Linked DNA regions of Coturnix japonica. The protein of the gene in region 1 purifies or fractionates together with the protein of each later gene. This does not show direct contact. Links are inferred from orthologs where the notes say so. Each region holds a gene or a part of one and is shown in the gene's direction. Other genes may lie near its edges.

The links.
Region 2: the proteins of NIPSNAP2 (region 1) and HADHA purify together in Homo sapiens (affinity purification with mass spectrometry; 3 studies listed by BioGRID and IntAct, with this or other methods). This does not show direct contact. The link is inferred for Coturnix japonica from reciprocal best matches to the Homo sapiens genes NIPSNAP2 and HADHA.

The regions. Positions count from the first base shown.
Region 1 is NC_029534.1:3,695,070-3,699,444, forward strand, and holds the start of NIPSNAP2 (protein NipSnap homolog 2), read left to right. Parts: upstream 1-1,302; 5' UTR 1,303-1,406; coding exon 1,407-1,492; intron 1,493-3,276; exon of another isoform or gene 3,277-3,313; intron 3,314-4,002; coding exon 4,003-4,142; intron 4,143-4,220; coding exon 4,221-4,266; intron 4,267-4,375. UniProt on the Homo sapiens protein: Protein involved in mitophagy by facilitating recruitment of the autophagy machinery required for clearance of damaged mitochondria.
Region 2 is NC_029518.1:95,806,629-95,810,440, reverse strand, and holds part of HADHA (trifunctional enzyme subunit alpha, mitochondrial), read left to right. Parts: intron 1-1,321; coding exon 1,322-1,444; intron 1,445-2,090; coding exon 2,091-2,209; intron 2,210-3,107; coding exon 3,108-3,164; intron 3,165-3,812. UniProt on the Homo sapiens protein: Mitochondrial trifunctional enzyme catalyzes the last three of the four reactions of the mitochondrial beta-oxidation pathway.

The DNA.
Region 1 (4,375 bases):
AGAAAAAAGAATCAAACGGGGCTTTTCCAGCTCATCTCTATCAGGGATGTTTGGGGCCCTGAAATTGTATGTTAAAAATGTTTTGGTGAAACCTGTAGTCAAAATATAAGTAGCAAATGTAGTTGCTTCTAAGAACAGGATGTTCCAGATGGGAAAAACTTGGTGCCTCAGATGAAACTATGGAAAATGTGAGTTAAATGTTAACGCTTTGTTTTGTTGCATGTAGTTCTGCCCAAAGCCTTGACACTTTCCAAAGCCAGCTGCTCACTTGAAATGACTCTTGTTATACCGAGAGATGAAATTACTACCATATGTGGTAGGAGAGTCATTCTATTTTAATTGTTCTGTATTTCAGGCCATCTTTTGTGATTTGTAGGCTTTAAAATGCTATTAAACCTTTTGAAATGAAGTTTAGGAGCTTTACAAGGAGCTTACCTGCATGTGTGCTCAGTTTCTCTGTGAGTTCCTCCTGCCACCACTGTGTTAACTTCTAAGATCTGATGGAATTACAACCACTTGCCTTTATTATGGCAGTAAAGTGAGAATGTTTGGGTAGCTTAGCATTGCTGCTTGTAGCCTGTCCAAAGAGCATTTAGATCTGAGAGAGATGGATCTCTTGATGGGAAGATGGAAGTTTATAAGAATATGGTCTGACTCATTGCAGCCTTTCAATACCTGAAGGGAACTTACTCCCAGGAGGGGGAGTAAACTCTTGGAAAGGGCTGACAATAGCAGGACACGGGGAAATGGTTTTAAGTTGAAAGAGGGAAGATTTAGGTTGGATGTCAGGGGGAAGTTCTTCACTAGGAGAGTGGTGAGGCCCTGGAACAGGCTGCACAGGGAGGTTGTGGATGCCCCGTCCTTGGAGGTGTTCAAGGCCAGGTTGGACGGGGCCATGGGCAACCTGATCTAGTAAAGGTGTATGTTTGGTGGCCCTGCCAGGCAGGGGGTTGGAACTACATGATCCTTGAGGTCCCTTCCAACCCGGGGCATTCTGTGATTCTGTGACTTTGGGAAGGCATCTTTAATCCGGGGCTGTAGTTCTGTTGTTGATCTGTGTGTTGAGGTGGTTGATGTAGGTCATTAATTACAGCTGGCTGATTAAGACCTGCAGCTGAGTGGAAGGAATGTGGGCTCTTAGTCAGGTGAATATACATCGTGCATCTCCATCCCCAGCACAGGAACGGAACCGTTCGGCCCGACTCGCTGTTTCGTGGGACCCCGACCCCCCAGCGGGAGGCGGGCTCCAGGCTCGGGCCTTCCGCGCATGCGCACTGCTGCTGCCACCGAGGCGTGGCTGGAGGACCCCCCTCACCCCGCCGCCATTTTTGCCCCCTCTGCCGGCGGCGGCGCTACAGCGTTACCAGCCCCAGAGCCGGCCCAGGAGGGAGGCGGCCGGAGCCAAGATGGCGGCGCGTGTGCTGCTGAGGTGGAGCCCGGCGGGAGCGGGCGCGGGGCCGCGTCTCCCGTCAGGCGGCGGCCTGACCCTCAGGTGAGCATTGAGGGGGGCGAGGCGGGCGGGAGAGGGCGGCCCAGGGAGAAGGGGGAGGCGGGGGAGGGAGCAGCCGCCGCCCGCTCGGATCCCACTGCCACACACGCTCGGCCTCCCCTCTCCCGTCTGGAAATGGCGCCCCTCTGTCGCTGAAGGGCCGCAGCCGGGCCCGCCGCCTCATGTAGGGCGGGGAGTGCGGCCATGGGGCGTCCCTCAAGGTCACGGGCAGCGAGGCCGGACCCCTCCCCCGAGTCCGCCCAGGGGTGGGGATCGCGTCAGGAGCGCGGCCAGCGCCGCGTCGGGCCCTCGGGGTTAGAATGGGCAGCACCTCTGTGTGTCCTCCACACATCCTCGGGGTTACAATGGGCAGCAATGCCCGTGGGGTTAACGCTGCCAGCAGCTTGTTGAAGCAGGTGCACACAGTGTTGTACTTATTGAGTTCCGAATCAGCTTTGACGTCTGTTTAGCAAATTAAAAAGTGCCTGTTACAGACAAGTTGTTTTTCTTTCTCTTGCAGGCAGACATTGATTACTACTGAATCTATATATTTCACCTGATACCTCCCACTCTACCCACTTTATATTGTATGCTAACGCAAAAGGCAGATGGAAATGTCCTCAGCAGCATTGTTAATTTAATATGACCAAGTTATTCATTGTTCTCCTCTTATGGTCTCAGCCCAATCTTTGTAGCAAGAAATCTGAGCCTTTAGATAACATTTGCAGGACAAGCATTGGCTAGCAAAGTTAAGCAGTGCCTTAAAAGGTTGCATGAAAACTCTTTAATAAGCATCATTCCTAGAAAATAAGAAGTTGTGAGCCGTGATGGTAATTCCCTATAGTGTGTACATTCCCTATAGTGTGTACATATTCATTCTGAGCATTCTGGCTCTTCTTGAGGTGACTATGGGCACAGGTGGCCCAGGCAGGTGAGCTGGCAGTCAGCTTAGTGCATTTTGGTTTGTGGGTGTCCAGATGGACACCAGTAGTGTATCTCAAGGGATATGGTGGTGAAAATTAAGGCTGTAGACACTCAGTGTGTCTCGTCTGAGATGCTGTTTTAATCAACTTCAGCAGTTACCATACTTTATTGTAAGTAAAGTAAACATTTAGATGGCTAGTTGTGGTATATTAGTCCTTGTTGATACGGAACTTTATAGTTCCTGAGTAAATGATTGCATAATCATCTGTAATACTTGTTTTATTCCTCATAGAAGAGCGTTCTGAATGGGAGAATATACCAGTAGTGTACAGGATGATAGAACAGGCACTGCAGGGCTGAAATGGAGTCGTACCTCCTGGAGCCCAGTTCTGTGTCTAGTAGGTGTGTTGTCACCTGTGCCTCTCTCCTCCCTCAGTTGAGATCAAACCTCTCCTCCTGTACCACCCTCTTCTGGCAACAGCTGTATTGACTGGACAGGAATGTGCTTGTATGTTTGTTTAGGGCTGAATAGACCCCTGTGTTCAATAAATAAGACAAAATACCAATTACTTCTTAGCATCAAAATTTGTCTTGGCTGTGGTTGTTTTGGTTCTTACTATTTCTTTGCTCTGAAATACTTCTCAGTTCATCTGTTCTGCTTCCACAGGGTATCCCAGTTCATTAGGTTTTCAGATGTTGATTGTTGAGGAGTGCTGCTGGTGCGAATTCCTTCTGTGTAATACAGACAATTGTGTTCTTTGAGATTTATTTTTTTTTCCACCAAAAGAAGTTGATATTTTCTTCTATTTTTTTCTTTTCCTTTGAGGAATTGTCAGAAAGTTTTGATACTGGAAGAAAGCTTTGTATCTGAAGATCGAAACCTGGCATCTGGATCTCATAGTCAGTGGTGCAGGGTATTAAGTTGACTTCTGAGATAGAAAATGGTTTAAATTTCCACCTGGGCTGCTGGTTCCTTAGTACTTCAGATAAATAGTTTAATATTTCAGCAGAAACTCTATATCATAAAGGGGTGGACTGAAGGAAGTGCTTCCTTTGAGTAAGAAGAAAAAGCATTCAAGCTTGGGGCATAAAGATTCAGTTAAATACCATAGATGTGTCACTTAACTTTTCCTTTCCAGGGCTGTATTTAAGCATACATAGGAACATATGGCACTTATTTACACTGTACAAATCTTTCCTTATGCCACTTCTTGCTCTTTTTCATTCCCGTCTGTATACATCAAGACAGACCTTGGGCAAATACACTTAATTAAAAAGAATATAAAAAGACAACAAAAGCAGCCACCTACCCATTTCTTGCATTGCTTACAAAGAATGAGAGCAGAGAGAGCGTGGTTAAGTGTTCAGCTCTGTATCACATAAAATGGTTTGTGAGGAGGTAAATCCCAGTGTGAAAAGAGCTGCCTTTACCTTGCTGCCAAGTGGCTCAGTGGAAAGACTGAGGGACAGAGCTGGGTGTAACTGTTATAATTTTGTTTGTATTATACTTGATTGTGCCCGTCTTCCCTGCGTTGTGGGCATTTTCAAGACGTGCTCAGTGACAGTGTAATGTACTTGTTAATATGTAGGGGGATGGTATCTTCAGCTAGCAGACCTCGTGAAGACAGTTGGTTAAAATCGCTATTTGTTCGCAAAGTCGATCCAAGGAAAGATGCTCACTCCAACCTTCTAGCCAAAAGAGAGACCAGCAGTCTGTATAAACTACAGAGTGAGTGATATTCTTATGTTTAACGTTACCGTTTCTTTGTTCCATTCCTGCATTTCTCATCTAATGTTGTTGTTTCAGTTCACAATGTAAAACCAGAATGCCTAGAGGCCTACAACAAGCTTTGGTAAGTGTGTGTGTTATGTTTTCACTTTTTAGACACGTTGATTTGACCACAAATGTTCTAAAAATTAGCAAATGCAAAAAATATTAGTGGGGAGGTGGGCAGATTCTGC
Region 2 (3,812 bases), on another chromosome or scaffold:
TCCAACTTAATGGGGGGCAAAGCCATTAATGCCACAATCTAGGTGGAGCAGAGCATGTAGACTGCAAAGTTGTTACCATTCTCTGCAGGATAATCTTCATTCCCACTGCTGAAGCATGGGTACAAGGATCTTTAAATGTCAGGGTAAAGCTAAGTGAACAGGGGAAGGTTAGCATAGAGGGCATCAGGAGTGTTGGCTCTCTCGCTTAAGCTAATAATAAAGTTGAGAACCTACATTCCTCATTTATCATGTCAGAGGAACAGACTGGAATCTATAATGCTTATGCAGCCTGCAGATGTTAATTCCAGTGGCAAGATCTTGAGAAGAGGCCAACCCCCAACAGCTTAGGCAGTCTGAATTGCTGACTTTCAGCTGAATGGAGATGAACCTTGCAGGCTGCAGAGCAGATTGCACTTCCAAGTGCTCCTGAATGCGAAGAAAATATGTGTGCCTATTTTAAAAGTGCTGCTGTCTACCCTGAGAAATGCAAGGGAAGCTCCCGTGTGCCTTGTCTCAGACCAGCTGGATGAGATGTTATTAGCTCGGTTCTCACTTATAAAATAGCTCCATGGTGCACAGGCTTGAGTTAAATCTGCTCATGAAGCTTTACTGCTGTGTATATGAAGTGTGAATTACCTTTAAGGGCTAACTTACCACCCTTGACTCAATCCAGATTACAATATAGAAGGAACACAAAAAAAGGTGATGTGCAATCATTGGAGGCAGTTCTTGTTCCTTCAAATAGCACCCAGTGCCAAGGGGCTTCCTTACTGAGTATTCACATTGCCATTCAGCTGGGGTAATGCTATTTGAAGGAGCACAAACAGCAACAAGGTAAATGATAGTTAGGTGTTAGAAAAAGGTCTTCACAGTCAGACAGTGAAACAAGGATCTAGAGAGGTGATGGGATCTTCATTCTCAGAGATATTCAGAGCCAGACCAAACATATTCAGGGCCATTCCTGAGTAACCTGATGGAATTCTCAAGTTAAAACCAGACTTTGAACTTGGCCTTGCTTTGAGCAGTAGGTCTGACTGTCTGGCCATGTTCCCATCCAACTAAAACTTTTCTGTTGTTCTCTGAAATGAGTGTTTGTGTTTAATTGGTGTACAGCCATTGGCTTCCATTGGGATTTGACGCGTTGGCAGTTCTGTATGAATAGTATGAACACTAAATATCTTGGAGACCTTCAGAATCAAGAAAAGTCAAGCAGGCAGGGGGCAGAGTGGTAGCAGTTAAAAGGAATATCCTGTTACTGTCACACCCTCTCATCAATGGTAAATTCTGTTGTGTTTCCTCAAGACTTTTCTTTTGTTCACAGGGCCAGGTGTGAAGGCTCCAGATGCACGAACAATTGAGTACTTGGAGGAGGTAGCAATTGGCTTTGCCAGAGGGTTAGCCAACAAGACTGTGTCTGCCAAGAGATCAAAAGGACTAGTACAGAGTAAGTCTGGGCACCACAGCCCAAGCCAAAGAACTGTAGTGAATATTAATCCAGCCTTGCTCAGAGGTCATGCTCCTACATAGTTTTGTCATCAAAGCAAAGTTATTAGATGCTGTAAGTTGTCTCCTGAGCCAGGTGGGTTGGTGGTTAGAAGGTCGCTGTGCAGTTGCAGGTTCTGTACAAAGCTTATGTAATCAGGTGAGGAGTGACATGGTGGTGTGCCCTGAACTGATCCTCTTTAGTCATGCCCTTGTACAGTTAACAGAGCCTGGAAATTGACATCCCTCTGTTCAGGTCTGCTTTGCAGTTGCATTAGGAGGATACCTTAGCCCTAGAAGAGACTTATCCATAGAGAAAGCCACAGATGCCTCCTGAGCAGATCATGCTACCTGTGATTAGCTGAGTTTTTTGTGCATACTCATATTGCAGCTACACAACATTCACACCTCCAGGTTGCATCAAGCCCTAGACAGCCTGGTTTAGAGGTTGGCAATCCTGCCCACAGAAGAGTGGTTGGAGCTCAATGATCCTTAAGGTCCATTCCAACCTGAGTGATTCTGTGATTCTACTATTTAACTGTTGGTTTTGTTATTTTAAGGCTGATTACAGGCCACTGTGCTGAGACATGCTTTGTTCCATCTTGCAGGGTTAACAGACTATGCAATGGCTCTTCCATTTGTGAGGCAGCAAGTCTACAAGACGGTGGAGACCAAAGTTCAGAAGCAAACCAAAGGACTGTACCCTGCTCCACTGAAAATCATTGAGGTAATGCCCACTGTGAGACATAAGAAAACCACCTAAATGAAGATGGATCTTTGGGGTAAATAACATGACAACGGGCACAGGGTTGGTGTTTCCTTCTTCTCAGCAAAGCCATGGGTAGTGACTGATCTTTATAGAAGATGGGGGCTGGTTGTGTGGTCTGCCCAGCAAAAAATGGTAAAATTCAGAATAGCTTCCCAGAACATGATTGTTAGTTTCTATGGTAATGGAACAACAGGTTGCCCAAGGAGGCTGTGGATGCCCCATCCCTGCAGGCATTTAAGGCCAGGCTGGATGTGGCTCTGGGCAGCCTGTTCTGCTGGTTGGCGACCCTTCTCACAGCAGGGCAGTTGGAACCAGATGGTCATTATGGTCCTTTTCAACCCAGGCCATTCTATGATTGTATGAAACCCAAGTGAGGGAATGCTTAGGTTGGAATACTTTGTCTGTAAAACTTTGTCAATAAAACCAGTGCTGTTTTCCTAACACTAACCCCACAAAAGGTTAAAACAGGCATTGTATTGCAGACATTATCCTTGGTTGGATTTTTGTTTCTTTTAAGTGACTTTTCACCTCTAAAACCTGTGAACATCACCCTCTAACTGAGAGCTCTGACCTTACAGGAGCAGAGTCCTGCTGAAACAATTCCTGAATCCGTAAGGTGTGTGTAAATACCAACCTGACAGAAAACTCACTGCCATGGTACTTTGTGCTAGGACAAGGTGATTCCTAACTTTGCTTTGAACAGCATGAACAGGACCCAGAGTGTTTGAAGCGCCCTTTGAATACTCAATAGTGGTCACTGGTGAAAACGGGAGGTGCAGCTAAGCAATTATGATAGCACAGCTGTTGGTGGACATGCCTTTAGTCATGGGAAATCTTTATTGTTGTTTTTAAATAGGTCGTAAAGGCTGGTCTTGATCAGGGGCATGACACCGGATACCTCGCTGAATCCCAGGTAAGAAGATGAGATCCCAGGTAGCAATAAATAAGCTGTATAGATGTGTGGTGAGTTTAACCGTACACACAAAGGATAATATTCTCCACAGGCTGCTCAAAATGGTGCCTGGATCCCTGCCCACTCTACTGCAAGCGGGGCTGTGGAAAAGGCCTATATTGAACAACAGAACTGGTCTTGTTGTTCTGGTTTAGTTTTGGGGGGCTTTTTTCAGGGTTCTTCATCTGTGAAAGCTTGTGCTTCATCTCATTCCTATCTGTTTAGTCTTCCTGGGCTGGGAAAAGCAGGCTGAGTTCACTGATCTGGGTTTCACATAGCAGGACTTTGTGTTTGGTTTCTCTGTGTATCTGAGCAATATTTGTTTGTTCCGTTTGACACGTGGGACGGGTAACCTAGAGGTGATGTTTTTTGTGATGTTCTTGTTTGTTTTCAATAGTGGTTTCCCTACACAGAACAGGGCTTCTCTTCCCCTATCCCTCAGTGGAGCTGGCCTTATTTAGCAACCACTCCAGTGGGAGTACTGCTAGTACTGGCCATTCAGAGTGACCTCAGCAGGCCAGGAGAGCTGGGCAGGCAGGAGCCTTGTGAGGTTCAGCAAAGGGAAGTGCCAAGTTCTGCCCCTTGAGAGGAGCAGCTCTAGTCTCCACA